3 linked regions of the Notamacropus eugenii genome follow. The protein of the gene in region 3 purifies or fractionates together with the protein of the main gene of each other region. This does not show direct contact. Links are inferred from orthologs where the notes say so. Each region holds a gene or a part of one and is shown on either strand. Other genes may lie near its edges.

What was found.
Region 1: the proteins of DNMBP (region 3) and BIN3 purify together in Homo sapiens (co-immunoprecipitation; 5 studies listed by BioGRID and IntAct, counting the BioPlex papers as one, with this or other methods). This does not show direct contact. The link is inferred for Notamacropus eugenii from reciprocal best matches to the Homo sapiens genes DNMBP and BIN3.
Region 2: the proteins of DNMBP (region 3) and DNM2 purify together in Homo sapiens (co-immunoprecipitation; 3 studies listed by BioGRID and IntAct, with this or other methods). This does not show direct contact. The link is inferred for Notamacropus eugenii from reciprocal best matches to the Homo sapiens genes DNMBP and DNM2.

What each region holds. Positions count from the first base shown.
Region 1 is NC_092872.1:611,923,389-611,934,220, forward strand, and holds the start of BIN3 (bridging integrator 3), read left to right. Parts: upstream 1-5,607; 5' UTR 5,608-5,799; coding exon 5,800-5,807; exon of another isoform or gene 5,808-6,502; intron 6,503-10,832. UniProt on the Homo sapiens protein: Involved in cytokinesis and septation where it has a role in the localization of F-actin.
Region 2 is NC_092875.1:79,228,945-79,239,320, reverse strand, and holds the start of DNM2 (dynamin-2), read left to right. Parts: upstream 1-5,810; 5' UTR 5,811-5,970; coding exon 5,971-6,131; intron 6,132-6,413; exon of another isoform or gene 6,414-6,660; intron 6,661-10,376. Other genes in the region: QTRT1 (queuine tRNA-ribosyltransferase catalytic subunit 1), read right to left, coding at 872-950, 1,874-2,012, 2,502-2,570, 3,862-4,161. UniProt on the Homo sapiens protein: Catalyzes the hydrolysis of GTP and utilizes this energy to mediate vesicle scission at plasma membrane during endocytosis and filament remodeling at many actin structures during organization of the actin cytoskeleton.
Region 3 is NC_092872.1:216,899,169-216,909,645, reverse strand, and holds the start of DNMBP (dynamin-binding protein), read left to right. Parts: upstream 1-6,206; 5' UTR 6,207-6,321; intron 6,322-6,685; exon of another isoform or gene 6,686-6,747; intron 6,748-6,802; exon of another isoform or gene 6,803-7,085; intron 7,086-9,111; exon of another isoform or gene 9,112-10,477. UniProt on the Homo sapiens protein: Plays a critical role as a guanine nucleotide exchange factor (GEF) for CDC42 in several intracellular processes associated with the actin and microtubule cytoskeleton.

The sequences.
Region 1 (10,832 bases), about 400 Mb from region 3:
TTCTTTTGTGCTCCTCCTATTACCCCAAGGTCCTACAGGATATGTTTTTAGGGGGACTCCTAGGACAACTACCACATGACCCAGATTTTCTGTGACAATCTCTACTTCAAAAAAGATGCTACCTTGGTTTTTGGTTGTTGTTGTGGTGGGGACTGGTATTTATGCTATTTTGAATGAGGCTTTGATTGTGAAGCAGTGTTGTATAGTGAGAAAATCTCCAGATGTATAATCAGAGGAACTATGTAATACTGGGCAAATCTTTGGGTCTCAGTTTCCTCATCTGTAAAATGAGGAATTTTCTTCAACGTACTTTCTAGCCCTAAACCTATGACAATCTGACATTATGACTAGATGATTTCTAGGGTCTCTTGCAAGCAATGGATTTTATACTGATTGTACATGAGAAAAATAAAGAAAATCTGCAGGTGTGGTAAAATGGGAGAAATTGATCTAGAACATCATGGCTACTAAATAAAAGCAGTAAACAAACAAACAAGAATGCTATGGGTACCAAATAGCTGGGCAATGTCTGGGGTGGTAGATAGTAATAGCTTAGATGGTCCAAAAGACCTGAGGTGCCTTTCCCTGAGTAACATTTTTCCAGCACATTTTTCCTCCCTCACTAAGGTATAGCCAGAGGATCTCTCTGTGTGACACAGTTCCAGATTACATGTGGTTTTTTGTGATGACCCTTCCCTTTTTTTCTCTTTCACAGATGCTAGGATTTTACTTCATTGAACTCATGAAAGACAGAAGTACACAAGAACATGATTGATTGATGACTGGATTCACCTCAAGATGGTCCTGTCAAACACAGTTCCCATCAGTCTGATGCCCAGGAATGGAATCAGACAGATACTCCCCAGACTATTCTGAACAGTGTCCCTTTCCCTACCTGGTCTAAACCCCCAAGGAAGCTTTCACCATAGATAACAATACATCTTGTACTTGTACCTAAGCACCATCTCTTGCTTTGGGGATTCATGAATGGAGGGATCTTTCCAAGGTAGAAAATAAAAGATGATGCAGCCCAGGGAAACTGAAGGCAAAGATCAGACTCTAATCATATCTACATCCCCCTGGTGCTGAGCATGATGTTTTATCCATCCTCAAGGGGGTTCTAGCCTCAACTCTAGCACAAACTCATTGTGTGACTCTGGGTCTGTCCCCCTCTGCCTGGGCCCCATTTTCTTCATCTGTTAAATGGAGATGTATTTGTACTACTTATTTTACTAGGTTATTGCAAGGATCATTTGTTATATGACAGAGTTGGATTTTCTGCCAGTTCTGTATATCATGAAGATATCAGATAAGTCCAGATGTGTAAACTTTCATAACTCTGAATTGTCATGTAAATGTGACCTGTTATTATAATAATGGCAGGTACAAGTTTATATAGGTATAATCAACAAATAAAGTTCATCCCTTCTTGCCCTTGCCAAGGTACACCCAATGGAGCTGACCCTTCCAACAAATATAGGATACTGCTGGGTAATAGCAGTAACCACTGGTTACCGTTGAAGTCATAGCAATCAGCTAGCTGTCTGTGTGTAGTAAGACCATCTACTCAAGTCAGAACAAAGGTCATGCTGACTCCATCAAGTTTCCTCATGAGATCCAAAATTATACAAAAGAGATTAAATCCATATAGGAAAAACTAAATGGATGAAAAAATGCCAATTGCATTAGACTATGGCATGTATTAGGATGAACAGTCTATTGAATTAGCACCTACATCTGGGACAAGTGCTAAAAATGGACAATGAGTTGGACCCCTGGTGGAATGGGGGAAGAGAGCAGGCTGGAATAAGCTTGGGAAACTGGGTAATACTTTCAATGACATCAAGCAGATCCCCTGCACATCTTGTTAACATAAATATCATCTCAATTATGTTTTTAGTTTTGAATCTTGGAAAACCACAATCTTCACAAAATCTAAGGTACAGGTGTCCCATAGAACATAGGAAAGATGTATGGAGGTAACAAGCAGCTTTCAAAGTATTTTCTAAGGATGGTCTATGGGCAAGTAATAGTAACATACATATATAATATAAATTTAGTACACACACATATAGGAAATATGTGGTCAGAAGAGGAGGTGGGCCAATCATGTAATAAGATGGAAATATCAAAGAACAGGTACTTATTAGGGTCCTGCTATATACCTAGCCTTTTGCTAGGGACACAAGTACAAAGAATGAAACAATCCCTACCTTCAAGGGGCTTGCATTCCAAAGGACGAAGCAAGTATTTTAACTCTCTCTCTCTCTCTCCCCCATATATGTATACACAGATATACACACACATATGTATATATAGTTAAATATACTTGCTATATATAGTATATAGCATGAATATAAATACAAAAATGTGTATTTTTGTACACAAAAGTTAAAACACAAGATCATTTGGAAGACATTAGCAGATGGAGGCTCAGTAAGGTTTCATGCAGGAAGGGGTGCCTAAGCTTCATCTTAGAGAAAGAGCAGGTCTTTATGATGCTGAGGCAATGCATTCCAGGTCTGAGGAAAGACCAGTGCAAAGGTAGGGAGTCAGAAATGTAGAGAAACAGGGAGAAGACCTCTTTGGTTGGATCAAAGAGCTGGAAGGAAAGGGGGCAAACTGATGTCCAATGATGCTAGAAAGATGGGATGGGGGTCAGGTTGTGCAGGGCTTTAAAAGCTAAACAGAGGAATTTATGTTCATCCTAAAGATAGTACGAAGCCAGTAGAGTAGATTGAGTAGGAGAGTCACATGGCCAGATCTGTGCTTAAGGAAAATTACTTTGGCAGCTGTGTGTAGGAAGCCCTGAAGTGATGAGAGTCTTGAGGCAAGGAGACCAATTAGGAGGCTATTGCAATGACCTAGACAAGAGGTGATGAGGGGCTCAACCAAAGTAGTAGTTGTATGAGTGAAGAGAAGGGGTCAGATGCAAGCCATGCCTTGGAAGTAGAAATAAAAAGATTTGGCAAATAACTGGATAGGTGGAGTGAGGAAGAGATGGCATTCTCCAAACTCTTGCTGAGCTGTCCCACACCGATGAAATGCACTCCTTCCTCACCCCTGCCTCTGAAAATCTATGCCATCCTTGGAGGCTCCACTCTCCCTAACCTTTAGTGTCTCCCCATCAGTTCCTTCCCACCTGCTTCCAAACATCTTTGCAATATCCAAACCTTCTTAAAGCCTTAAAATATCTCTCCTCCCTTTCAGAGACAAACTCCTAGGAAAAGCTATGTACACTCATTGCATCTGCTTCTTCAGCCTCTCACACCTGGCTTCTAAGTTCACCCCTCAGCTGAAACTGTTCTCTTCAGAGTTATCAGTGTTCCCTTAATTGCTGACTGTGGGAATATCTTCTTAATCCTTATCCTTCTTGACTTCCCTACAGCATTCAACACTTCCGACCAACCTTTCCTCCTGGATACTCTCTCCTTTTTTGGGTTTTTGTGACCCTGCTTTCTCTTGGTTCTTCTACCTGCCTGGTTACTCCTTTCCAGTCTCTTTTGCTGAGTCAGGCTTCTCTTCTCCATCTACATTTTCTCTCTTGGTGACTTAACTTTCATTGATTCAATTATCATCTCTATGCAGTTGGTTCTCAGATCTAGGTATCTTGCTCTGGCCCCTCTTCTTGCACTCCAGTTCTGAATCCCCTGCCTATGAGAAATTTCCCACAGATGTCCCATAGGTATCTCAAATTATCCAAAACAGAACTATATTTTCCCCAAGACCCATCCTTTTCCCAAACATCTCTATTTCTATAAAAGGTGCCTCCATCTTTCTAGGCACCCAGGTTCCTTATCTGAATCATTCCTGGCTCCTCACTCTCACTAACCACACGTCCATTGAGTTGTTAAATCTTGCTACCTCCATAAACATCTCTGAAATTTGGCCCCCCTAATAAATAATATTTATTTATTGCTAAGTTCTTTACAATTATTATATCATTTGGTCCTCACAGCAACCCTGGGAGGCAATAACTATTAGTAGTATTACTACTATTATCATTTATACAGCACTTCATATGTGCCATGCATTGTAAAGTAAATAACTTTATATTATTATTTCACTTGATACAACCACCACAAGAGGTGAGTGCTATTATCACCCCCATTTTACAGATGAAGAAACTGAGGTACACAGCTGCTAAGTGACTTGCCCAGGGTCACAAGTGTCCGAGGCTGTATTTGAACTCCCTCTTCCAACTCTATGCCCACCTCCCATCACCCTATTTCAACCTCCTGGCTGTTGCTCACATGTAACATTCCATTCCCGCTCAGGCACAGGCTCTTCTGCATGCCTGGAATGCTCTCCCTCCTCATCCCCTCGTCTTAAAACCCTTTGGTTGTCACAAAGTACAGCTCCTATGCTACCTCCCACAAAAGGCCTTTCCTGCTCCTCCCAGCTGTCATGCACCCCGTAATTTACTTTGTGGATATTTTCCGTAGACTTATATGACTACAGGTTTCCCCTGATAGAACAGAAGCTCCTTGAGTCAGGGCTACATCACGTTTGTCTCTTTCTCCCCAGTACACTGCTTGGCACACAGTGGGCTCTCCTAAGTTCTTGTTGGTGGATTGGACTGAAGTACCATTTCCTGCAGGAGACCTCGTCATCCACCTGAAAGCGCTGTCTTCAAAGTTACCAGCGATCCCCTCGTGGCAAAACGAGCGCTCAGGCTTTCGGGTTCTGCGCAGCGCTTGAGGCTCAGCCCGATCTCCTTCCCCACCGCCCGCCCACCCGCGGGGCACCAGGGCTCTCCCGCCCCAGATCCAGGGATACTTTGTTTCTATTCGTCTATTTCCTTCTCTGCGTCCTCCAGGCCCCCGCCAGGGGGTGCAAGCTTTTTCAGACAGGGGCTATTTCCTGTACGTGTTTTCAGTGCCTGGGACTGAGCAAGCATTTAATAAGTGTTTACTGGATGCATAAACAGAGCCACGGAGCAGGGCAGAATTGGGTGTAATCCACCGCTTTCTGGCTCCAACTTCTGCAACAACCTAACACTCTCCCAGCCCTCCGAGTCCCCGCTCTCAAGGGCACCCCACTGGACTTCAGCAGTGAACCACGTGGAAAGTGACCCCTGAACCCCGGCGTGAAGGACGGGACGGCAATAATCGGGACTAGTTTTACCTAAAGCTCTGTCAAAGCGCTTTACACGTGGTACGTCACCGATCCTCACCAAGACCTCGTGAAGTAGGAGCTACATTAATCTTCATTTTACAGATGAGGGGTCTAGTGACTTGTCCAAGGTCACGCAGCTACGCAGAATTTGAACTTTAGGTCTTCCTGACCCTAGGTCCAGCCTGCGACCACTCGCTGTCCTCCCCGCTTCTCCAACTCAGGCTCATTCTCAGCCTCCGAAGCCAGGGCTGCCTTTCCTCTTCCTCCTCCCCCTTCTCTTTTATGCACCGCACACAGCAGGCGCTCAATAAATGCGTGTTGTGCTTTACTGCACTGTCGTATTCATTTCTGCAGCTGGAGGAAATTGAGGCAAGGAAGAGGTGTGAGCACCCAGGACCGGCACAGCCGGGAGTCTGCACTAGGACAGGGAGGGTTCGCGGAGCGAGGTAGTCCGCAGATTCCGCCGCGAAAGGGTTACTAGGTAACCACTCTAGGCTCCACCCCTTACGTGTCCAGGTACTGACCCCTCCCCCTCACCGCGCCGCGCGCACCGCCTCTCTTCCGGGAGTGTCTCATTCGTCACTTCCTGGAGACGGCCTGAATCCGGAAGTGGCCGTGGTCAAGCGGGCTGAGGCCTGGGCCGGGGCCGCAACGCGGGGCTCGGACACCGGAGCCGTCGCCATGAGCTGGTGAGTGAAACCCGGCGGATCCTGCCCTGGGGTTCCTTAGGCTCCCTCTCGTGCCGCACGCCGGACTCCGCCTCTGAGCCCCCGAGACCCCCTCACCCCCTTAATTCCCCGCCCCGCTTTCCAGGGTGCCCCTCTGAGCTTGTCCTGCCCGCCAGCCGCGGGTGGGCTGAGCCTGTCCCGGAGCAAGGCCTTCGGCGCTTCTGCCAACTTTCCACGAGAAGTGCCGGGAACGGATCTGATTCCCGGAACCGCCCCGGCCCCGGGGGCTGGATGGCCACGAGCCACGGACCTTGGAGAGGGATAAGATGACCTCGGAAGGCCCTTCCCATGCCGTCCTTCTGGGACACTTGAAGGGAGCCCTGGGGGGCGGGGCCGACCTGGATCTAGTCTCCTCTCGGGCCCCAAGTCCGTCATGAGGTCATCGCTCTAGAGCCAGGAGGGACCTCGAAGCCACCCAAGCTAACCCTGTCATTTTACGGAGGAAGCTGAGGCCAAGGGAGATGAAGTGACTTGTCCCGAGGTCACCCGAGTATTTATTAGTTACTTAGGCAGAGCCAGTGCCCTCTCCCTTGCACCACCCTGCCTGCTGTACGGAGACAGGCCGGGGAGGTGCACTGGTCCGTGCTGATATCCCCATTTTTCAAATGAGGAAACTGAGGCCCCAGGGAAGTAACCTGTCCAAAGACACACTGCCGGTAAGCGTCAGGACTGAGGACGTTATTTCTTGACTCCAGGTCCTAGTCTCTTTTTCACGTAACCATGCCTCCAAAATTCACCCTTCCTAAACAGACTAATCATTTAGGAAAGGGCTTTAAAGAAAACCTCACATCCCTAGAGCTCGACAGCAGTGATCTTAAATTTATAGCACTCTTATGCTAGTGGTATCTAAATCTTCATCTCAAAGACATGGTAGCATACAGATATATGTATGTATACACACGCATAAGTGTCAGAGGTCTGAATAATAACCGTCAAGGTTCCTATTATGCAGTATCTCTAACCCTTATTTGCTGCTTCACTTGATAATCTTTTATACGTAGTACACACTTATTAAATGTTTGATGATTGATGGACTTTTGGACTCCATTTGGGCAAAGCAGGTTGTTCTTTGTATACCGGACTAATTTTTGTTCTTGGAAGAGAAAACACTTTACTCCTCCTTACCCTCTTATATTTTATTGAGACTTTCAGGAACTTCCCTGTCTAGTTGTGAGCTTTGCCGAACCTTGCCTTTTGTACCTACAGTATAAGACTGGGAGAATTGTCCGTAAAGCTTTTTAGATAGGTCCATTAGCCATAGAGAGCTTTGAATGGACATTCTTTTAAGGGCTATTTGTAGCTTATTTCTCTACCTAGGCATTTGTGACTGAACTCTGCCTAGAAGCAGCTGATATGCCAGTAAACATCAGGAACAGATGTGTAGTATGAAATCCAAACCCCTTCTGATTCCCTTTCTCCTTGCTGTGTTAAGATTTATGTGCAAATATTGAACTGACAGTTCCTGGCAGATTAGGTAGAGCCCCAAGCAATAACCTAATAAGCCCCTCCAGGAATTCTCCTTTTTCTAATGTCCTTTCCTGCTGGAGGCCAATTGTAGGCCTTTACCTAGAAAAGTTAATGTTCCAGTCCTATTAGAACCAAATCACAGAGTCTCTTCTGCCTGCCAGTCAGAGAGGAGATATTCTTCCTCAGGGGAATCAGTTTCTTAAGCGTGTAGCCTGGTCCTCTCCCTCCTATGACTAAATTCGTCCCTGCTTAGCACATCATGAATTTCCTGATTTCTCAAGGTTAAAACCAGAAAGGGCGGTTGCCTTTTAGTGCTCAGAGTATAATTTACAAATCAAACAGAACTCATCTTCTCAACCTGGGAGATGATTAGTGAGGGAGAGGTTCTCTGGGGAAGTACTCTAGGAAGTTGTTTTTATCTTTCTTACTGAGAATATTCTGTAATAGTGAGGCTGTAGCCCCAGGTTTCTGAGGTCTTTTAGGAGAAGAGGATAGTCCATGAGTAAGTGCTACCGTAGGAACTGAAAAGAATGCTGTCATAGGCCTGTACTGCCATATTTTCCAGCCACCTCTTGTACTTTGCCTTATAAGAGTGATAAAGAGAGCAGCTTTGTCTCCTGAAGCTGAGATTTGTCTCTTTTCCTTTTAGACTTAGCCCACGTCATCTCTTGCGTGGACCTTGACCCTCTCCCCTTGAAAGGGGAAAAGCTCTAGTGACCAGGCATACAATCACATTCAGTTCCTGGCTCAATAGCTGGCACAGGGAGCCAGGGTTTGGTCTATCTGATTCATGCATGGAACTGTTTTCCTGCTCCTGGAATCAATCTCTTCATTCACCAAAGTCTGGAATTCCAGGGGTGGGAAAAATGGGCAGAGTGACGTACAGCCACCATGGGAGGCATTAGCCCAGGGTCAAGTTCACCAAGCTCAGGGGATGTGCCAACTATTGGTGAGTGAGACATAGGGCATTCTGATCGTGGCTCCCTGAGGGAAGCCATTGTTCTGGGCCAGGCTGTGCTTTCAAAATGTCATGGTGAAAAATGTCTAACATTAGTGCCCTTTGCACACTGGGTTTTGCATGAAGATCTAATAGCCTTTGTTCCCAACTTCCTCTGAGCAGGCGGCCTGCCTGCCCCCCTGTTTGTTTAGTTGGTGTGTGCCCCCCTTCAAAGACCATCCATTTCTAATCAGGATGACCTAGGAATCTGAGCATCTGGCTAAGAAGAAGATACTAGGAACTCATCTCCACTACCTTATTTACTATGTGGCCCCAAATCAGATTCTCCACCTCTCTACTTTCTTGTCTCTGGAGCAGAGTAAATACCCTCTTCCCTAAGGAGTGAGTTAAAATTGAGTAGAATTAAGTTTTTTTATTGTGTTTACCATTACACCCTTCTCTGAAACCTTAAAGATCACAGATAAGATTGGGAGAAAGAAACCTTGGAGGAGAAGCTGTCAGATTTTGTCCTGTACAAAGGTTTATGTATGCCCTGGAAAGTTAACTCAAAAGAAAGTATTAGTGTAGTGTGAGTGAAGAACTACCCAGGGAAATAGGAAGCATGAACTCAAGCCCTCCTTTAGTTGCTAATTGTGGATCCTTGGCCAAGTCATCCTGACTTCACTCTCAGCTTCTTAAGAGCAGAGACAGTTTTTTGCTTTTCTGCCAGCATTTACCACAGTACCTGGCACATAGTAAGCACTTAATAAATATTTAATGATTGATTGACTCTGCCACATATGCAGTTTGTGAGAATAAACAAGACTATATCTGCATCCTTTTAGTATCTTAGACGAATATAATTTGATTAAATTAATCCTAATACTAGTAATCGCTAGTGGCTTTTTCACATCCATCTCTTTAAAATGACAGATTGATTCAAAAAAAGGGAGAAATCTAAATACCAAACATTCATGCCTAAGAGTCACCAAGGCCCAGTCACCTTAGGCAACTAGTTAGCACAATGGATGGAGTGCTGGCCTCGAAATTTTGAAGACCTTAGTTCAAATCCTGATTCGGATAATTAGCTGGGTGACCCTGAGCAAGGCACTTAACCTCTCAGCCTCAGTCTTCTCATCTGTAAAATGGAAATAATAATAGAACCTTTCTCACTGGGTTGTTGTGAAGATCAAACAAAATAGTATATGTAATACACTTAGCAAACATTAGTGCTGTGTAATCGCTAGCTATTTTTAGCTCTTTCAATATGGCGCCATAGGATTGGGAAAAGTTCAAAGTATAGGCAATGAACCCCTTGCCCCCCAGCTTGAATTCAAAAGGAAGAGGCTGTACAGATGCCATTGTGAGATCTAACACCCTGCATTTACCACATGGAACTACTTGTTCCCTCATCTTGTGATAAAGATTCAAATGGTACCTATATCATGAAGCTTTTCCTTTATTCTCCCCTCCCTAAATGTGATCTCACCCTTCTCTGAATTCCTTCTATGGCATTTTGCCCATCTCTTGTGGTAGTTGTCACATTCTGCCTTTTCCTATAGTGATCTGAATCAGACCAACTGTACTTCCTTTTGACAAAGCTGCTAGACAGGTAGATGAATAGAATACTGTAGATATAAATATACCTGGATTTTCAGCAAGACATTTGGCAGTTCCCCCTATAAGTTATTCTTATAGACCAGATGGAAAGCTGTGGACTGGGTGATAGTTATGGTTAGGTGGATACAGACCTGAGTGAGCTACTTGACCCAAAGAATAGTAATTATTAATGTCAGCCTGGAGGGAGGGCTCTAGGAGGGTGACTCAGAGCTCTGGGATTGACCTTTGTGTTCAATGTTTTTATCAATGGTGAGGCTGAAGACAGAGATGTCATGCTTAGCAAGTTTTAAGATGACACAAAAGTGGGAGGGATGGCTAAATTGTTAGATAACAGAATCAGGAGCCAAAGAGATTGCAACAAGGTTGAAAAATGAACTACAGAAATTTCGTAGGAATAAGTATGAAGTTCCATGCTTGGGTTAAAAACTTGAGTGAACAAGTTCAAGGCATGGAAGGGATGGCTAAAAGAGCTTGTATGGAAAAGGGCGTTTTTAGTGGAACTGGATGTTCAGTGTGATGTGCCTGCCAACAAAGCTAATGTGATCCTAGTCCAAGTTAACTAAGTATAGGATCCAGAACAAGGGAGGTTATCATCCTGCTGTTTTCTTTGCTTCTCAGAACACATCTGAAGTATTGTTTTAGGTTCTGAGTGCCACATTTTAGGCATTTAGACATTAATGATCTGAGGAGCATCTAGAGAAGAGTGATCAGTACAGTGAAGAGACTATGCTATGCATAGGGTCCAGTTAAAGACACTGGGTATGTTTGACCTGGAGAAGACTTAGAGGGTACATGATACATCTTTAAGTTTCTGGAAGTCTGTGTTGTAAAGAGTGTTACACTTGTTTTATTTGGCACCAGATTGTAGAACTAGGATCAGTGAATGGGAGTTGCAGAGGCAGATTTCAGCTCAGTGGGTACTCCCTCAGGAAGTAGTCATTTTTCTAGAGGAAAGTGGAGAG
Region 2 (10,376 bases), on a different chromosome or scaffold from region 3:
TAGGTACCATGCTAAGTTCTGAGGCCACAAAGACAAATGCAAAAAGTGCTGGCCCTCCAAGGGCTTATGTTCTAATAGGGTAGACAGTACATATAGAAGCAAATATATACAGGAAACATACGAAAAGAATACAAAGTAACAAATGAGGGGACCAGGTAAAGGCTTCATGGAGAAAGATTCGCTTGAGTTGAGTCCTGAAAGAAACCAGGGAGCGAGAGGGAGGAAGGAAACCATTCCAGGCATGGGGGACGACCAGACCAAAAGCATCAGTCTGGGAAGAGGGAGCATCTCAGGTGAGCAAAAGCAAGGAAACAAGTGGAAGAATAAGAAAGGAAAGTAGAGACCAGCTCATGAAGACCTTTAAATGCCAGAAAGAGGAGTTTACAGAGTTAAGAGAGAGAGAGAGGAGGGTCAGAACTACCCTTTGGGAAACTGCCTCGGAAAACGTAGAGAGCATGGAACCGCAGAAGGGGAAAACCTGAGGCAGGAAGACCAGCTAGATGAGGTCTGAACAAGGGGGGCATCTCTCCAATTCCCTCAGCTGGCAAGCTCGGTGCCTTCCTTTATTCTCCCTCACCCCACCCATCCAATCTGTTGCTAAATCTTCTTTCAATTCTCACATAATATGTCCCCTTCTGTCATCTCAGATGCCACCTTGGTAAATGGTAACTGAGAAGGAGCAGTTAGTGGGGGAGAGGAGAATCAGGAGAGAACAGGGTCAGGAAAATCCTGAGAGAAGAGGGTGGTCTGTGGGATCAAAGGCTGTGATGAGGTCAAGGAGCTAGAAGGAGGAGGGGGGAGAGAGAGAACCACAGCTTAGATGATGAGAATTCACATTTCTATAGTCCATGAAGATTTGCAAACCGCTGACCTGTGCATGGCTTCCTCCACTCGAGAACCCGTCAGAGTGCTGCTGACCACATCATCCAGCTGCATCATAATATCTGAGCCTGGAAAGAAGGGGAAGGGAGAGGGAAAGTCAGAGAATCTCTACTGTTGGGAGGATGGTTGGGGATGGATGCAATCAGGACAACCCTCTTCTTAAAACACGGTAAGATCTAGAAAAAAAACAACCCAGAAATCAGCCAGAAAGGAGGAAAACAAATAAGCCAGCTTTCTGATGCCTTCTCAAGTCTCTGCTCTTCCCTGAAAGTGATTTTATCCTTCTCAACTTCTCATATACTGTGTCAATATTTTCCCACCCTACCTTATATCATATGTATCTACATATCATACCTCTCAGTAAGCTCCTGGAAGGCAGAAATTGTACTCTTTTTTTTTTTTTGACCTTATGTGCCTAGAGTTTAGCCCTGTGATTAATAAAAATTTTTGAGTGTCTTACAAATAAATACATTTACATGGGCAGGGGTGGAATAAGATTTGATACAGCTCCACTATGTGCCAGGCACATATCATCCCATCTGTTCCTCATAACAACCCTTCAAGGTAGGTGCTATTATATTACCTCCATTATACAACTGAGGCAAACCGAGGGTAAGTGACTTACCCAGGGTCACACAGCTAGTGTCTGAGCTGGGATTTGTACTCAATTCTTGCTGATTCCAGGCCCAGTACTCTATACACTGCCACCTAGCTTGAAGACTTACAAAGCTCTTCACTTTGGAAGGGCCCATTAAGTAAATAATGAAAGAACTGTATTCTCCACTTTACAGATCAGCTAACCAGAGAGGAGAAATGACAACCACAGTCACAGTCAGAGCTGAGATTTGAACTAGGGTATCTACTTTCAAATTCTTCCCCCTACAAACTACCTTCTGCTCCCCAGTCCCCCTACTCCCATCCCAAGTCAGCTTCCTGGGAAGAAAGGCCAGAAGCTCTAGTCTCTAGCTCCTCTTCACCATCCAGGGCTCACCCAGTGCATTCTGAATCTCCACAGACTTCTCTGGGCTCAGCAGGATCTCGGCTCCATCATATGGGGAACGGAATCGCACTCCTTCCTCGGTCACCTCAGACAGGGCCAGCAGGGACACCATTTGGAAGCCACCACTGTCCTGTGGATGACATTCCCTATTGACCTCAGGTCCTCAATAAGGATCTGCCACTGTCCCATTGAGAAAATAAGTTGACAGATCTAGAAACTGGGAGATGATCAAAGCCAAACCCCTCATTTTACTGGTTGGGGGGTGAAGGGACACAGGACACTGAGCAACAGAAAGTGTGTGCCCTGTTGAAGGCCATCTAATCCTCAATCCAGGGGTTCTTTCCACCTCACTGTTCTCAGCCCCTGGAACAATGACAGCAATTCCTATTTCTAGAGCGCTTTAAAGTTTACAAAATGCTTCTCCAAGACAACCCAGGGAAGCAGATAATTCAAAGATAATTTTTTCCTGTTTTTATATTATAAAGTGAAACTTTAAGAGGCTCAAACAGGGAGTCAGGAGCCCATTCAGGCTTCCTCTCTAAGTTTGGGGCCCTTTCCATTAAAACACACTGCTTTTCCCAGTGTCCCACCTCCCTACCACCAAGGGTTCCAGACCCACCGTGAGCAGGTTTTGGTTCCAGTTCATAAAGCCATGCAGCCCACCGGCCTTCTGTATGAGCTCTGGACCCTGGGAGAGAAGATTCAGTCACTACAAGTGAGAGACCAGGACAGAGGTTCCTATACTGTTACAGAAAAAGCACGGGAGTGGGGAATCTGCAACCTTGAGGCCATGTGTGGCCTTCTAGGTCCTTGGGTGTGGCCTTTGGACTGAGTCCAAGATTTATAGAACAAATGCTTTTATTAAGGGGATTTGTTCTGTGAGGTTTGGATTCAGTCAAAGGGCCTACAGGGGCACATGTGGCCTTGCAACTGAAGGTTCCCCACCCCTGGGTGAGCCTGATCTGGAGGTTGCCCACCTCAGCCATTCCCATCTTTGGGTCCAAAAGTAGGGAGCCCTTGATCCCTCACAGGCCTTAGAGATGAGAGGATTTAAAAGGAAGATTTAAAATTAGAGATTAAGACAATTTAAAAATAATACAGTCTAACCCCCATGTTTAACCACCAGGGAAACTAAGGCTCAATGCAGGGAAAGGTACCAAAGGCTTCAGATTAAAACCCAGGTGCCCTGACTTTTTTGACTCCACTAATAAGAATTTGTTGTTGTTCAGTGGTATCTGTCTCTTTCCAATACTATTTGGAGCTTTCATGGCAGAGATACTGGAGTGGTTTGCCATTTCCTTTTCTAACTCATTTTACAGATGAGGAAACTGAGACAAAAAGGGCTAAATGATCCTTCAGGGTTACACAGCTAGTAAGTGTCTGAGGCTGGATTTAAACTTATTTCTTTCTGACTCCAGGCCAGATACTATCCACTGCCCCACACAGCTACTGCCTAGTATTCAGCTGGGGGTTAAGTAGAAAGAATGCCTGCCCCGGAATCAAGGAAACTCGTCTTCTTGAGTTCAAATTCTGCTTCTGACACTAGCTGCGTGACCCTGGGCAAGTCACTTAACCATGTTTGCCTCAGTTTCCTCATCTGTAAAAGGAACTAGAGAAAAAAACAGCAAACTATTGCAGCATCTCTGCCAAGAAGATCCCAGAGGAGGTGGGGAAGAGTCGACACGACTGAACATTGCTAAAACATTCATTACATAGCGCCTTAAGATCTGCAAAGTGCTTCCCCATGATACTGTCATCCACATTTTACCCTTCGGTAAAGAGGAACCCGTGGCATGCAAAAGTGAGGGGACTTGCCCACATCTGCACCCGATCTTGAATGCGGGCCTTCCCCACTCGAGGGCCAGCGGTCAGCATCTCCCCCAGCTCGCTGCCGCCTCCGGGGGGGTCCCGGCGCAGCGGCCCAGCGCCCTTCCCCACTGCGGGCCAGAGGTCAGCGCCTCCACCAGCAGCGCACTCACCGGCCTCATGCCCAGGTGGTACGTGTTGCCCAGACAGATGCGGCAGCCCAGGCTATCCAGCTGCGCTGCAGTGACTCCCTTCATGGTCCCTTGCGTCCCCACCGGCATAAAGACCGGGGTGGCCACGGTGCCGTGCGGCAGGTGCAGCTCGCACGCCCGCGCCTTGCTGCGGCCGCACGCGGCCACCACCCGCAGGGCCAGGGCTGCCGGGGCCCGGGTCCCTGGGCCCGCAGCAGAAGCAGCTACTGCGGCAGTCGATTCTGGACACCTCGTGGACGGAGGCTCCCCGGAAGCCGCCATATTACTACCTGGTCACGTGGCAAGCGGAGCAGGCGGAAGGCGTCTCGGAGCCATGGCAACGGGCTTCCCGGCGGTCAGAGAAGGGCCCGCTTTTTTTTTTTTTTTTTGAGGCACCAGAACTGGAGTCGGCAAATTAATACACTTAAAATGCCTGGAACATCGTTGTCTGAATTCTGAAAATGACGTGGCCCTGATTTATTCTCCGACTCCGCCCTTCCTGAGAATCCCATCCTGGGTCAAATGGGGAAGTCGGCTAGGACAGCCTGTTTTACATAGCTCGGTGACGTCACGGAGGCGCGCTGTGCTGGGAGTTGTAGTTTTCCGCAGTGACAAGCTGCCTGCCGCCTTAGAAAAGGAGGCTGGAACGTGAGGAACATGGTCGTTAGAAGCCATAAATCCGGAGATTCTTAGGTAAAAGGCATCCATAGATAGGATTCTAGAATGTAGCATTAAGCACGCACAGCCTGATTGTCCTGGGAATCGATGGGTTCCTTTTCACTGCTGCTGTTAGCCAAAGACTGGATAGCCATTCAGTTGATAAATATTACATATGCAGGCAAACCGCAGGGGATACAATTACGAAAAAGACCTGCCCTCAAGGAGCTTATAATCTAAGGGAGGGTGGACAATGAAAAGGGGAGGAGTTGTGAAGAAATCCAAAAGACAGCTGCTTGGTTGGAAATTAAGAGATATCTGGCCTGGGAACCCTCTATGGAGGTTTTGGGAGGAGCTCTCCACCCACCTTCCATTCAGAGGGGTCCCAGAGGCAGAGGGGTGAGGACCAACGCTTAACTGATCTTGCAAGACGATAAGGTTGCTGGGGCCACGACGTCCAAAGCAGTGCAGCAGGGTGAAAAATGACCACCTCCCAAAAACCAGGGATCCTTGGGGTATGGAGTTGAACCGTATAGCTTTATCTTCATCCGTTCTAATCGGAAGATTTCTTTTGTCATAATTACTAATTAAGCAGCATTGGGAGGAAATCTTGATTCCCTCCAGCAGGGGACGCTGATTTTCTCAGAGAGCTCTTCTAAATCTAGAAGTGATCGTTGTTTCGAGGAGTCTGAGCGTTAACAAATAAGAGCTAACGCTAAATTGATCGACAGATGCATTTCTCAATCACAGACAAAATTTAGCCAGAAAGCACCGCCCCGTTTCTTGCTCTAGTTAACAGATAGTATGACAGCTTTTCTGGCCAATGGAATAACTGAAGGAATCGGGCTACTGTGACGTATTACCCAATCACATTTGATTTGGTGGGTGGAGTCCGCTAACATCACTGGTTTGCTAATCCGACAGACAGGTAGTCTCACCAATGAGAATGCGAAGATGTCTTAAAATAGGCGGGACTAGCATGCAATTTCCGGAAACGCCGCCCCCGGCGTTGACAACCAGGTTCCACGGCCTATTGGGTCTCGGGAAGAGTGACAGTTCCTTTATCCAATGAATTCTCGAGAAAGGAAAAGGGGCTTAGGACATTTTCGTCCATAACCATCATCCGTAAGCCCGTACCTCTATTCCATTGGCTTTTGATCGAGAGTGACAGGAGTCGGGGCCAGTAGGCAGTGGTTTGAAGGGTTTGGGGCGAAGCCTCGGCTGGGAGGGCCAGCCCCGGTTGCGTAAGGGGCGGGAGGTCGCTTGGGTCGGGTGTCGCCTGAGAACCGGATGAGGCGGCGACTGTGAGTCGAAGTTTGGAGTCGGGAGTTGGGCTGAGTCCCGGGGGAGCAACCGCCGGCGCGCGGGGCAGGGTCGTTGGGAGGCTGGGGAGGTCTCGCGGGCCGCGAGGGGGGAGTCGCCGCCGCCGCCACCATGGGGAACCGGGGGATGGAGGAGCTGATCCCGCTGGTCAACAAGCTGCAGGACGCGTTCAGCTCCATCGGGCAGAGCTGCCACCTGGACCTGCCGCAGATCGCCGTGGTGGGCGGCCAGAGCGCCGGCAAGAGCTCGGTGCTCGAGAACTTCGTCGGCCGGTGAGTCTTGGGCAGGCTGCGCCGGCGGCGGAAGATGGGCGCTCCCCCTCCCCGCGGGCCCTGCTCGCTCCGCCCGGGCGCAAGCGGCTTGAGGAATGGGCCCTGGACGCGCCTGGCTGCGCCGCTTGCGTAAGCCTCGGGCAGAGCCGCGGGTGGAGGAGCGCCGCTGGCGGGTGCGCGTGGACGGCGTAGAGGGGGTCCGGGGATGGGCCCCGGCCTAGGCCCCCTCCCCCGGGGGGGTCATCCGGGGGTCACTCGGACCTCACGCGGTCTCCGACCTCTGACCCGGGGGGAGATCCACAGCGGCGAGCGTCGCCCTTCTCCCCCTGGGGAGGACTCCGTGTGCCCGCCCGGCAGGTGCCCGGCGGACGTCTGACAGCCCTCCTGGCCCCGAGCCGTTTAATGCCGGTCTGGAGCGGGGAAGGAGCGGGTCTCCGTAGTCGTACAGCTGGAGGACCTCTAGGTCATCAATCCTTTCATTTTACAGAGGAGGAAACCGAGGCCCAGGGCGGTGACGTGACGTGCCAAGGTCACTGTTGGCTTCCCTGGCATTATCAGGGTGTGTTTGTGCTGGGAGGGGGGTCTCCCAACCAATTGAAGTGCCTGGCGGGGAGGGGCGGGGGAACACCAGCCTGGTGCCTTTGTTGCCATTATCGCGTTAGGTTTGGCCGATGCTCTAGGGTTTATTATTCTTTGCAGACTGCCAGGCTTGATTAGAGTTAACTGCAGCCCCGGTTATCTCGGCTCTGGGCATTTGAGCTGTCGAGGGAAGGACAGCGCTGGGAGACTGGATCCAGGGATTCATAAGGGGACGTTGTGCCTTGTAGACCTGACAACTCCAGGTTCAGAACCATCTCAACCCCCTTTATCCATCAGAGATGACTGGTTGGTTCTCCCCTACTTTGCAGGATAGCTTTAGGAGATGATAAGCTTAGTGGGTCGAGACCAAGTTTCAAAGTGGACTTTCAATGTAGTTCAGTGGTAGCTAGTGGAGCAGCTACTCCCCTCCCCCCCCAATCCTTCCTTTCGCTTGTCAAAGAGAAGTTCGAAGTAAAGTGTCTTCTTTACTTCGAAAAGGGCTCTTGAGTCATGTTTAACTTCCTTATTCTGGGAGGGCAACCTGACTGTGGTCATGTGTGTCCTCTCCTTCATCCCTATTTAGCGGCATAGGCTCTTAGTGTGGCCAACACCTTCCTGGAGACCCACTCTTTGCATGTCTAGGTTTACAGAGAAACGTGTGCCAGCAGTCTAGAAACCCAAGTTAGATAGTTGATATTGTACCTTTAGATCTTTGCAGAACACTTTCAAACAGTCCCTGCTGAAAGTAACTAATTTACTCAAAGTGTTAGGGTTTTCTGTTTGTTTTTGTGATTATAAGCCTTTTCTGGCCTACAGTTTGACATTTGGTAAAATTTTGGGAGTCCTTTGTATTAGTAATAACAGTAGTTGCTTTATCTGTCATTTCATTTGATCCTCAAAGCAGCCTGTGGGATATGTACTGTTGTTCAGTAGTGTCCCACTTTTGGTGACCATATCACACCAGTGCTGTCCATGGAGTTTTCTTGGCAAAGATGCTGGAATGGTTTGTCATTTCCTTCTCCAGTGGTTTGAGGCAGAGGTTACAGTAATTTGCCCAGGGTCACACAAGACTGGATTTGAGCTCTGGTCTTTCTGCCTTCAGGCCCAGAACTTTATCCACCGAACTACCTAGCTGCCTTTGAAGTATATACTACAAACACTATATTAATTTATTTTAAAGAAGAGGAAATAGGCCCAAAAGTGGCTAGGCCATAAACAAAGTAGGATCTGAACCCAACTATCTCCAGTCTCAAATCCTGGAAACTTTTCATTATATTGTGCTGTTCCTTGACCATTAAAAGCATTCATGTAGCTGTCCTGCCTTTCTTCCCTGGAAAGCTCAACAATAAAACTGACTCAGGTTTGAAAACAGTTGAAATTTTAAAAATTCACAAGTACCCTACACTGCAGACAAATAATATTGAGAACTTTTAAAGAATTAACCAAGCCCTTCCGTCTTAGAAAAAAAACTGTACAGTCAAGCACAGTTGCAGGCAGGTGGTAGTTTTTCTTCCAGAATTTGTTTTAGTCCTGCCATAGTGACATTGTCACATTTAACTGGTGGTGTGTTTTTGAGGCGGTGACTGGAGGGTGACTGTGAATGGACTGACTTGGGTGATTTTCAAATTCCTTCACTAGATGGGAGGGGCAGGGCAGTATGTAGTTCTGATAAAAGAGGTTCTTTTCCTCTCCTTCCCAACCCAGTCTCTGTTAACTTCCTATCACTCAGTCCCATCTCCCTTGAGGGCTCCTTGCCTTAGTTGGGGTGAATGCATTAATTACACCAGGGTTCTCACTTTATTTCTTTATTATTAAAATAAAATGGCTAAGCTCTCAGGTTTGGTCATCTTCATATCCCCAGTCCTTTAAACACTACCTCATCAGTATCATTTATTTCCAAAGTCATCACCCAGATACAAGCTTTCATTCAGTTGTTGTTCTGTCTGGTCTGACTCTTGTTGACCCCATTTGGGGTTTTCTTGGCAAATGTGCTGAAGCGCTTTGCCATTTCCTTCCCCACTTTATTTTAGATGAGGAAACTGAGGCAAACAGGATTAAGTGACTTGCCCAGAGTTGTCTTCAAGATGAGTCTTCCTGACTTCAGGCCCAACACTTTATATCTGCTGTGTCACCTAACTACTCATATTTCTTCCAATACTACCTGCCTAGTTCTGACTTTTATTATAGCCTCCAATAGGTCTTCACCGCTATCCAGTCTTTGTTTTCCAATCAATTATTTACATGCTATGTCAAACTTCTCTTCATTATACATATGTCATAACCTCTGCCCAATAACCTCCATTGGTCTACTGGGCGGGGTTCACATTCCTTAGTGAGACATTCAAGGTCTTCAGTATATTTTGTTGATCTTTTCAACTTTAACCCTAAGTACTACTTACTCTCCTTGTCATCTATCATAGGAGCTAACTGGAAGGAACCTTGGAGATCATCTAGTCTAGTTCCCATGTATAGATCAGGAGACTGAAGCTCCTGAATGCCAAATCAAGGTCAGGGATTGGGAGATTTAAAGTCAGGTCCCCAGATGCCAGTGCCCTTTCCCCAGTACAGCCAAACCAGACTCAGTCTTATCCAACTCATATGCCTTTCCCTACATGCAGAATTCCCTTCCTGCCTTCCCCCACTTGGAATTCTCACCCATCCAGGTCAGATGTCATTCCAGGAATCCTTTCCTGATGCCCCCCACACCTCTTGAGTCTCAGTAATGATTTTGTTTGTACCTTTCTAATGCACTCAGCATGTATTATTTGTTTATCCCCAGATTGGGATGAAAGCTTATCTGTTCAAATCCTTGTGTTTTGTCTGTGAGACACTGAATATGGAGGCCTAGGTTTCCTCTTAACTCTGCTACTAAAGAGCTAGGTTACTTTAAGTAATTCACTAAACTTGTCGGTTCTCTCGTTGCAGTATCTGACATCTTCTCTAGATCTAACACAGCTCTCTGTATGTGTCAGTTCCCTCACATACACATACACACCCTACTTGAAGGCAAAGGCCAGTTCTCAAAATCAGTAACCAGCACAGTACAGGGATACTAACCATTTGATCAATTGAAATTGAATTGATTTTGCGACCATAAACTCTACCAAGCACAATTATTTTTTATTATAATTATTATTAAATAAAGTAATTTTTCTTTTAATGAAAAGCTTCTGCTCAATTGACCTCTTCCAGACTGACCACTCCTCACTTCTTTCTTCCTAGTTATTTGTGTATGTGTGGGGGCTGGGGTTCCACATAATCTTGCAGAATGGCAACTTATCAAGCATTTAGTAAGCACCTACTTCTTGGTAGGCCCTGTAGATTCAAAGAAACAAAATACAACCCCTGGACTGATAGCTACAGATGTCCAGTGATTTGGGGGTGGCTTTAGTAGCTGAGGGGGTCAGAAAGTGCTTCCAACTGTTGAAATTTCCTGTTGAAATTTGGTGCTTAGACTGAATTTTGAAGGAAAAGAGGGATTCACAGAGACAGAGAGGAGGAGTGATTGCATTATCAGGAAACAAAATACAAGGAATTACAAGAAAATCCACCTTGACCGTAGCTTTTTTGAATAAATAAATAATAAAAAGGACACTGGGGCCAAATTGTGAGCACTTTAAATGTCAAACAAGAGTTTCTATTAGATCCAGTTTGAATAGGGGAGTG
Region 3 (10,477 bases):
TTTTCCTGGCCCATCTGTTATTTTAAGTAGTATTTAATTGTGTTTTTATACCCTAATCTCTCTTTTCAGAAATCCTATGCTTTTTATATTGTCAGACAATGCATTCTCTACATTTATAGAGACATTTTTGTAAATCTTCATCTCTCCCGGAATGATCTCTTCTAGAAACTCTTTGAAGGTTGGAACTAAAATATACCAGTATTGGTAGCAACTTCCCAATATATACTTATAAATGAGTAACCCTCACTTAACATGGTTTGCTCTTCTCTTTGAGGGCAGGGACTACCTTTGTATTCCCTGCACCTAGCACATTGCCAGGCATCAAGGGACTAATAAATACTTGTTGGTTAGCTGATTGCCTGGGCCACATAGTGATGACATGGCCTTTGTGACCAGCAATGTGCCACTTGTATCAATTGTCACTGCTCACACTGTGGTGCTGCTTCTTCCATACTGAAGGCTGCTGCTTCTACTGCTGCTATACTTAAGGTTGTAGAGAGGAAGGAGGAAGATCCCATTAAGAAACCAAAAGCAATCTGCTGAGTGATACCAGGTTTTGCCATGTTCATCTATCTGATTCATTTTGACAACAGAATCCTTCGATGGAATTGTTGTGGCCCAAAGGACTTTAGTTTAGAATCCTGATATCTTAAAAGGTAACACTCAGGGACTCATTGTGCAAAATCCTCACTCCACAGTTGCTTCTGAAAAACTTTTAAATGCATGAGACTACTTTCAAAATAAAGTTAAAAGAATATTAAGACAAGATGCTCTTCTAGTTCAGAAGAATCAGATAAAGAAATCAGTGTAAGGTCATTGAAAACTTAACTCTACCACACAGATGTGTTTTACTACAATTAATTAAGGATTAATTCAAGTCAACTAAATTTCTAACGTGCCTGCTATGTGCAAAGCCCTGTACTAAGTGCTGATCATATAAAGTTGAGAAACAACAAAGTTTCTGCCCACCAAGAGATACAATCTAACAGGAGATGAAATATAGATACAGATACAGTTGTTACAAGGTAGACTGTAAGATGGTCTCTAGATAAAATGCTCTAAAAATCTGAGAAGGGAGTCTTAAAGGAAAAGAAGTAGTTTAATAGCCAGAGAGGTGGAGGGAATATGTTCCCAGGATGTGGGGTATCCATGAGGATACACAGAGACAGAAGAAGTCAGGATAAAGTTATAGAGAACAGTGAATAGAAGAGTTTGAATGGAATGTAGAGTCCCAGAATGGAAATCCTGTGAAGTTAGGAGGGGAAAGTAGGTCAGAACCATACTGAGAAAGGTCGTAATTGCAAGGCTAAGGAGTTTGTATTTTACAGAGAGCCTGGGAAGTTTCTTCTATACAGGTGACTTGTGCAATGGAAAGGTGATTTTGGTTGCTGTAAGAAGGATAGAGTAGAGATAAGAGAGCCTGGAAGCAGGAGAACCGTTTGAGAAGCTATTGCATTGATCCAGCAATGAGGGACTGGTGTAGGCTGATAGCAATGCAAATAGAGGAGGGTAGATACATGTGAGAGTTACAGACAAAGCAGACTAGATAGGACTTGGAGACTAATTCGATATAGAGGATGAGGAGCAGAGAAGAGTCAAAAATGATTGAGGTTTGAGACTGGGGCACGAGAAACAGTGGTGCCATCAACAGAAATAGGGAAGTTGACATGAGGCTTAGATTTTGGAGTCAAGGTTTTAAAATTCAATTTTAGGTGTGTTGAGTTTGAGTGACTATTCAGGTAGAGCCAGCAGGTAGTTGGTTAGAAATGGGAAATTAGAGCTCAGGGAATAAATGTTTGGATATATGAATTTGGGAAGTAATGATTGGAACCACAAGAGTGGATGAGATTGTTAAGGAAAAGAGTGTAGAGAGAAAAAGAAGTCAAGAACACACCTTTGTGGGAAGCCAGGAAGCCACAAGCAGACAGAAGGAAAATGAATCAAAGAAGATAATGGAAAAAGCAGCTAGATGTTGTGGTAGATAGGGTTCTAGACTTAGAGTCAGAAAAACCTGGGTTCAAATCCTGCCTCAGACATTTATTAGCTATGTCTCCCTGGGCAAGTTACTTAACCTCTTTCAGACTCAGTTTCCTGATCAATAAAATGGAGATAATATTACCTACCTCTCAGGGCTGTTATAAGGATAAAATGAAATAACAAATGTAAAGGGCTTTGCAAACCTGAAAGTAGTTAGACAGCTAGAAAGAATATTAGGAGAGTATAACATCACAGAAGTCAATGTAAGATGACAAGGAATTTGGAGTGGATAAGTCAACATGGTTCTCAGAACCACAGAATCTCAGAGTTGGAAGGGAATTCAAAGAGGGGGAGATCCATCAGCCCACTTCCTTCATTTGGTCCTCATGTAACATTAGCTCACACTCCATCACCTTGGTCATGTTCCTCTGGACACCCTCCAGTTTATCAGTGTCTTCACTCAAATGTGACATCTAGAACTGAACACCATTGTTCAGATCTCATTTGACCAATACAGTATCATTATCACTTCCCTAATCCTGAATACTATGCCTCTCTTAATGGACACTAAGATGGCTTTAGTTTTTTTGGCTGTTACATCACTCTATTAATCATTAATTAATTCATAATGAGCAATTCATATTGTTTCCAACAAACTGCTATCTAGGCATGCCTCCCCCATTTTATATTTCTAAAGTTAATTTTTCAAAACCAAACGTAAATCTTCAATTTACCCTTCACACAGCTGTCAAAGCAATAATACTAACACAAAAATCCAACCATGTCATTATCCTGCACCAAATTGCTCTGGTGGCTATCTGTTGCCTCTGGGATCAAATATAAATTCTGATTTGGTATTTAAAGCATTTAACAATCTGGGTTCAACCTACATTTCTAGACTTATTCTATATTATTCCCTTTGAGCAGTCTATGTTCCAGGTAACCTGACTTACTTACTACTAGTCATTTGCCCAGGCTGTTCCCCATCCCTCCCTCCATGTCTAGAATCCACTTCTTCCACCTTAATGGAATGGAGTTTTGGAGCATGTTCACACCACCTAACATGGTATCACCCTTGTGGAAGGCACTAGGGGACTACTTCTGGGAGAATGGAACACTATAGCAAGACTGGACATTTTGTGTTGAACTACTACACGGCTGGGAGTAGCCTTTTCCCATTGGCATATAACCAGAACAGCCAGTCTTTTAAAAACAGCCTGACACAGTACCTGAAGGGTTTTTGGGGTATTCATGTCTGAGGGTGAAGGATTCTTTCACTCATATCATGTAGTAAGTTGTGAGGAGAAGTGGGGAAGGGATGCTTCCTTCCCCCACTCCCATCCACCCCCACTTTAGGCCATATGGTTACAAGAAATGAGCCTACGTATTTGGCATTTTTGTTCAATCTTTTTCATTCTAGTTTTAAGGAGCAGAATCTCGGATTTGACCCAGAAGCATAAGCCATGGGGATTCAGGAGTTTAAAAGTCCAGGCCAGGTGTTGCAGACAGCCTAGCAGAAGCAAGCCCTGAGGAGTAAGGGTCTAGCGATGCTAGCCAACCCAGCTGGGTTTTGGGCTTGAACATGGTAGTGGGAATAATACTATGTAGGAACTGAGTTAAACTGTGAGCCTAATCTCTCCTTCCACAGAGGCCAAAGCAGTATTGGGGGGCGAGAAGGGGAAGGGAATTATGTACTAAGTGCTGGGGGGAAATGCTCTAACTTTGAAGTAAACCCCTTTGTAAAAGCTAACCTGATGTTAAGATAGTTAAGTAGAACTGGGGGTGCTAGCCATTGTATCCCTAAAATGGGAGGAACAAAGCTGGTGAGGGCTTGAGCCAATAGCTGAGACTCCCCACTCTCCCTTGGGGTACTGGAGAACCCTGTGGTGGGAACAATGTAACAGGTCAACTGGTCCCGAGAGAGGGTGGACCCAGTCATAGATGTTGCATTAGAATTAAATCATTATTGTTGTTGAGGCTTTTCAGTTCTGTCCAACTTTTTGTGACCCAATTTGAGGTTTTCTTGTCAGAGATAGTGGAATACTTCGCCATTTCCTTCTCTAGTTCATTTTACAGATGAGTAAACTGAGGCAAAGAGGGTTAAGTGCCTTGTCCAGGGTCACATAGCTAGTAGGAGTCTAAGGCCAGATTTGAACGAAGGTTTTCCTGACTCCAGGCCTGGTGCTCTATCCACTTCACCAACCTAGTTACCCTCAGAATTCTTAGTTTCCTTCCAAACTCCCCAAAGTCCATCTAGGTCTTTTCTAATCTCAATGACTTTGTACAGTATTAAATTTGTATATTTTGCAATTATTTGCTGTTTGTCTTGTTCCCGCTTCACTTCCCCACATACAAATTACTTGAAGACAAGGACTATTTTCTTTGCTGTCTGCCTGCCACATAGTAGGTAATTAACAAATACTGGTTAATTAAGTTGCCCTTAGAGCTAATTTTTTGAGCCTTGGTCAATCCATGCTTAGCACTTGGGAGAAGTAGAGAAGGAAATGCAATGAGGTGACCTAGGACTGGTGATTAGCAGGGTGGGAACAGCAAAAAAAACAAAGAGCAGAAGGATTCTAAAGGCAAAGTTTGGGAAGTTTGATCTGGGTGATCAAAATAGATGAACAGAAAGGATGAAAGCAGGAAGGTCTCCAGTATTTTGGGTGGACACTCTGTGGCTAACTTTTGGGAGGACACAGAGAAGGGTCACCCAGTATCTGCAGGTATGGATGGGATGCCATCTGCCTCATTGGTGGGAATTCTGAAATAGATAGGATCATAAATATGTCTGAATATTTGAGAGTAAGTATACAAAGAGAAACAAAGTAGAAATTTAGCAAAGGGTTGGACTGGACATCTTAAAAATATCACCCAACTCTAAATTCTTTGGGGTTTTTTTCTTTTTAAAGAACAGTTATAGATTTTTTTGGATTTAATTATTTTGTTTTTCCTCAATTACTTGTAAAGAAAAATTTTTAACATTTTTTTCTTTGACATAGGAGCAGCTCTCTGATGTACTTCAATTCTCATTTTTAGACTTACAGGAAATTGCTGCTGGACACATCTACTACTAGCACTATTACTGCAAATAATTAGTATTATTTTTTTTAATTAATGTTTTTTTTTCATTTAACAGGCATTAGTTTTCTCTTCCTCCCACCTCAGCCCACCCAACAGGAAAAAAAAGGGAAAGTAAGAAAGGAAAAAAAGAAAAGAATGAAAGAAGAAAGAAGAAAAACAAGCCCTTGTTACAAATATACAAAGTCAAGCAAGTCCAATTCCTGTACTGACTGACCATGTCCAACAATACAGGTAGCATCACCTCCCCCTCTGTCAGGAGGTGGGTAGCGTGTTTGATCATTGGCCCCCTGGAATCGTGGTTTGGTTTGTCCAGACACTGATCAGAGCTCTCGCATCTTTCGAGGAGTGGCTTTTCTTTATCAAGCTGCTGTTACACACTAACTGTTCTCCTGGCCCTGCTTGGTCAGCTGAGACAGGTCTGCTCGGTTTTCTCGGACCCTGCCTCTGTCACTTCTGATGACATCCCCAGGCCATCATCTTCCTGCTACTCCTTACCTGACCTACATGCCCTATTTTGCCGCTCGCAGTAAATATCTTAGTGCACACGAGCACCTTTTCTCTGACCTCTTTGGGGTCTCTAGCTTGGGGAGGTGGGGGTGCGGTGTGCACAGGTCGGTGACTCGGGAGCATTGTTCCAAACTGCTCTCCGGCACCACTGACCAACTGTGCACTGGGCAGTGGCTGGCTTTTCTCTAGGGTTTTAAAGTTTCAAAGTACTTTACAGAGTGGCATTTGTGACTCACAGGCCGGCTGGGTGAGGAAGCAGCCTGTGCAGTGAAGAAGGTCAGCACTAATTAGGCGCCCACTGTATGTGGGGGGGGGGGGGGAGGAGCTGGAAATAGCCGGGGATGGGAAGGGCAGAGCGCGAGCGCCAGACGGGGCTGGGGCGGTGGAAAGGGAGGCGACCTGCCCCCCTACTCCCCCCGCCGGTTTCAAGGCGGGGGGGGGGAGCGCGGTGAGGGGCGGCGTCAGGGGCTCGTTCCGTGGGGGCCTGACGGGCCCGGGCTGCAAGCTCCGCCTCGTGGGGGGGCATGCCACGGACGTGCGGGGCCTGGCGGCTCGGGGAGCTCTCCTCCTCCCCCGCTGGGCCGCCCTCTCGGACGCGGCAGCCGGGGCTCGGAGGGAGGCTCCTGGGCTGACTCAGCCGGGCGAACGCGGTCCGGACTGACAGCCCCGCTCGGACGCGGGGCCCCGGCCTTCCCTGTCCCGGGGGGACCCGGCAGGCGCCTCGGACCCGGCTCACCGGGGGCGGGGCCGCCGGGGGTAAGTGCGAGCGGCTGCAGGGGGCGCCGAGGAGAGAGAGGGTCCGCCGGAACACAAGCGCGCGGGGACGCGAAGCGGGGCTGGGGACGGTGGAGAGGTCACGGAGCGGGGCGGGGAGAGGAGAGGGGCCGATGTGGCAGGGCGTGCACAGGGCAGGACTGGGACGGCCCGGGCTGGGGGGGGTGGGGGGGAGACGGGCGCGCGCGCGGCGGCGGGGGCCGCAGGGAGCGCGCGGGGCGTCAGACCGAGCGGGGAGGGGGAGCGCGCGGGGCGTCGGAGGGGGAGGGGAGCGGCGCGCGCTCGCGGGGTCCCGGGGCGGAGGGGCCGCGGAGGGGGCGGAAGGCCGGGCGGGAGGAGGGCCGGATTGACTCACTGCCGGCGCTGTTTCCGAGGGGCCGGAGTCGGCCGGGTCACGGCGGAGCGCAGGTCAGGGGCCGGGGCCGGGGCCGGGACCGGGGGCGGGGCCGCGCCCTGGGAATGAATTCCGCCGCTGGGTGGACGAGGAGGAGGGGGTGGGGCCGGCTGGGAGGATGTCTCGGAAAAAGCGGGCTGCCCTCGGAGGACCCGCGTGGACCCGCAGCCCTTGGCCCCTGCCCCTCCCACGCCTCGGGGCCCCCCCCGCGAGTCATTACGTAGCCATAATAGAGTAACCGACCTTCCTGGGGCGCCCCGCCGGGTTCATCTGAACCAACGACCCTGCGAAGTAGGCACCCTGAGGCACTGTGATCCCCATTTACAGATGAGGAAACTGAGGCCGAGAGAGGGTGAGTGTCTCGCCGTGCCCCGCCCCCGCCGGGCGATTCTCCCAGTTTCTTTAGAAGAAGCTGGAGGGGAAGGGCATGGGGGAGGGCCCCCTCGAACTTGGGGAGAGGTGGGGGATGAATGATGGAGGAAACAGGCTGGAGCCGCGGCCGATGGACGCTTCTGAGAGTGGCCACAGGCTCCGCTGCCCACGAGGCATCCACGGAGCCCCGAGAATTCACTGGAAGGGAAGTTTGGAGATGAAACACGCCGTTTGTTTTGGTAGGGGAGCCAGAGAAGAGAAGGGAGGCAGCGCGATCACTGACACCCTAGGAACCCGTTCTGATCTTTAGGAACTTTATATAGATATATACATATATATGTATATATGTATATGTATGTATATATATAATACACACATATGTTCCCGTTTTCCACCGGAGAAACTGAAGCTTGGAGAAAAGGAACGTCGTCCAAGACAATCGAAGTCAGAGACAGAGGCTGCCAAGGATAGAAACCAGGGTGACTGAGTCCAAAGCCAGGGCAGTGTCTGCCAGACCCGATCACTTGAATTTCCAAGGACAGTCTGTTTAATGGTGCTCTACATTACAGTGTCATTCATAGTTAACCCTGATTTTCATTAGCAAAAACAGTCTTAAGGGGAAGGAACTCTTTCTTTAAAGTGTACACTTTATAATATTGATCCCATTATATGCCATTCAAATTCTGGCTGAAAAATAGCTCCCTTAATAGAGCTGAGTAGTCACTTTAGATGTGAGTGGGTCATGAGGTAAAAATCACCTACCTTGTAAAAAAAAACCAGTTTTCTTCCTCTCCTACTTGTACATTACATCCTGTTTCCTGTATGTACCAGTAAAAAAAAAACCATGTTATTTTATACTTAGATATTATTTTACACTATAAAATCAGCATCCTGTATTTATGGTCAATTTTATTCATTAAAACAATTTGAACTCTAGTATTTCTTTTTAAGGGCTGAACTAAAATGATTCCAAGAATAGGAATACATTGGTAAAAATTGGTGATTACTTTGGGATTGTAATGTCTGCATTTGGAATTTAGGAGTTCTCTAATTTGCTCTCTGTATAGCTGAATTATAGAGGATGTTAATGAGGAGATTTGGCTGTATTCATGATATTATTTTACCTATAGAATGATGAGAAGAAGGGAATATAGATGTCATCTAGTCCAACCTCCTCATTTTATAGTTAAGAAAACAGGCCTGGAAAAGTCATAGTGTCTTCTGAGGCTAATGTGCGTAACCACATAGGAACCTTGTAAGATTTTTCCTAGTTAATTTAAGAAAATTTTTTCATAATGACCTGAACCAAGGAAGTAGGCAAATCATATCACCTCTCTGACCGTCACTCAGTTTCCCTATCTCTGAATTAAACTAAAGTATTTTAAGTCCCTTGCTGTTGTGATTACAAAAATATAATTGAACTTTTTACTACAACAGAGTAGATATGAAAATGCTTTGTTTTGCTTTGTGTATGATATATAAGTGTGGTGTCAAACTCATGTAGAAACAAATTGTGCATAAGGATCCTTGCAGCAGCATATTGATCTAGAAAAGTACATATTAACATCAAGGTTCTATTGTATTTTTATTCATTTTGTTAAATGTTTCCCATTTACATTTTAATCTGGTTGGGTCTCAGCAAGCAGTATTTGACAACTCTGATATACATAATAGTGTCTGACTGGAATGATATACAGTGTACTGCAACAAAAGATGTCTTCTATGATGTACTTGAAGAACTTTGACTCAGAGAAGTAATCAGACTGTCTAAAGAGCATTCGTTAATTTTTTGTAGTAGATGCAGATCTATTTGCTATATATAGTCTTGTAAACTCCATTATCCACTTGCCATATGTGTACCTGTTCTCATTTTCATTTCTTCTTTTTATAGAAGCAAAACCACAATCCAACTCTCACTCAGAGGAAACAGAACGACAGTTCCCTCATTTGCTTTCATATATCTCAAGCTTGAGGAGCAAGGTGTTGTCTCTAACCCTTGTAGGTGACTCAAGTGCTCTGCTATGTATGTTTTCTGTCATATTTCCTATCAGATCCAACTCTTGCCTTGATTTGGAAAGTTTTTGCAAGGAAATGATGAAGTTTCTGCTTCGATCTAGTAGACCCCACCCTTATCGTTAAGAATACAAAGAATTAGACTCCTTCCATCTTTAGTATCTGTACAATTCCACAGTAACAAATAGTTCTTTCATTTAGCAAATATTTATTAGGAGCCTAATGCAATATGGAAGACACTGTGGGAGACAGAAAGTTGAACAATAGAGAATTCCTGCCTTCAAGGAATTTACACACAAAGTAGATAAAAATATTTGTGCTAATATCTTACTGTAGTCTTTAAAATATATCACAAAGGCAGCACCATTAGTGTCCTCCAGAGATTTGGCATTATCTCACTGGTTCTGAAATTACTACTTTGATATTTCATTGATCTATGATTTCCTTCTCACTATAGATCACATCTCCAGCGTTTATTAAATTGCTTCATTAGTTGCTTTGAGGGAGAACATCATCTGGTAGCCAGCCTTCTGGTGATGAGCCTATCCAAATTTAGCTCTTTATGTCCAGACTAGCAATGATGTGAAACCAGGTCAGGCTAGGAGGGGGAATAAGAGGTGGGGATGACCAACCTGGTAACACCATAAAAGGAGGGTATCTCAGATGGAGACTACATGAGACAGTTGTCATTCCCTGATGCTCTGTGCTCAATCATTCATCAAGCATTTAAACACCTACTACATGCTTAATGTTTGAGGCCCCGGGGATATAAGTTAAAGAAGACATCTGGTCCCTGCTCTCTAGGAGTTCTAGCAGGCCCAGGTGAGGAAGTAGAGAGCATTTCAGGTATAGGGAAGGCCTTTTGTCCGGGGAGCAGTAGGCAGGCAGTAGGCCTCTTGGGCTGCAGCGTGGAATGTATGAAGGGGACTAGTGATGGGATCATCCTGGAGAGATAGGCTCGAGCCAGGTTGTAGAGGGTTTTCAGTGCCAAACAGAAGTTTGTATTGCTTCCAAAGTAGCATTTTCCTGATTTCTTCCATTCTGATCTCTTACAAGCTTTGGAACATTGTTCTGGCCTTCGTTTCACAATCCCTGACTAGTGTTTGGGATTAGATACCCAGGTGAACTGTTTGACTTGACCTAGGCACAGCATTCTTTTTATCCTTTTAAATCACGCCTTAGATTATACCCTTCCCACCAGCCTAGATGAGTTCTTTCCCTCTCTGCTCCTTAATTGCTCCTAATCATAGGTTCCCTTTTGGCACATTCACTCAGGTGGTGGAGAATCTAAGAATCTTGCCTCTTGTGCAGACATTCCACCCTCCAACCCCAGATAAAGGGCTTCATGATAGGACTTAG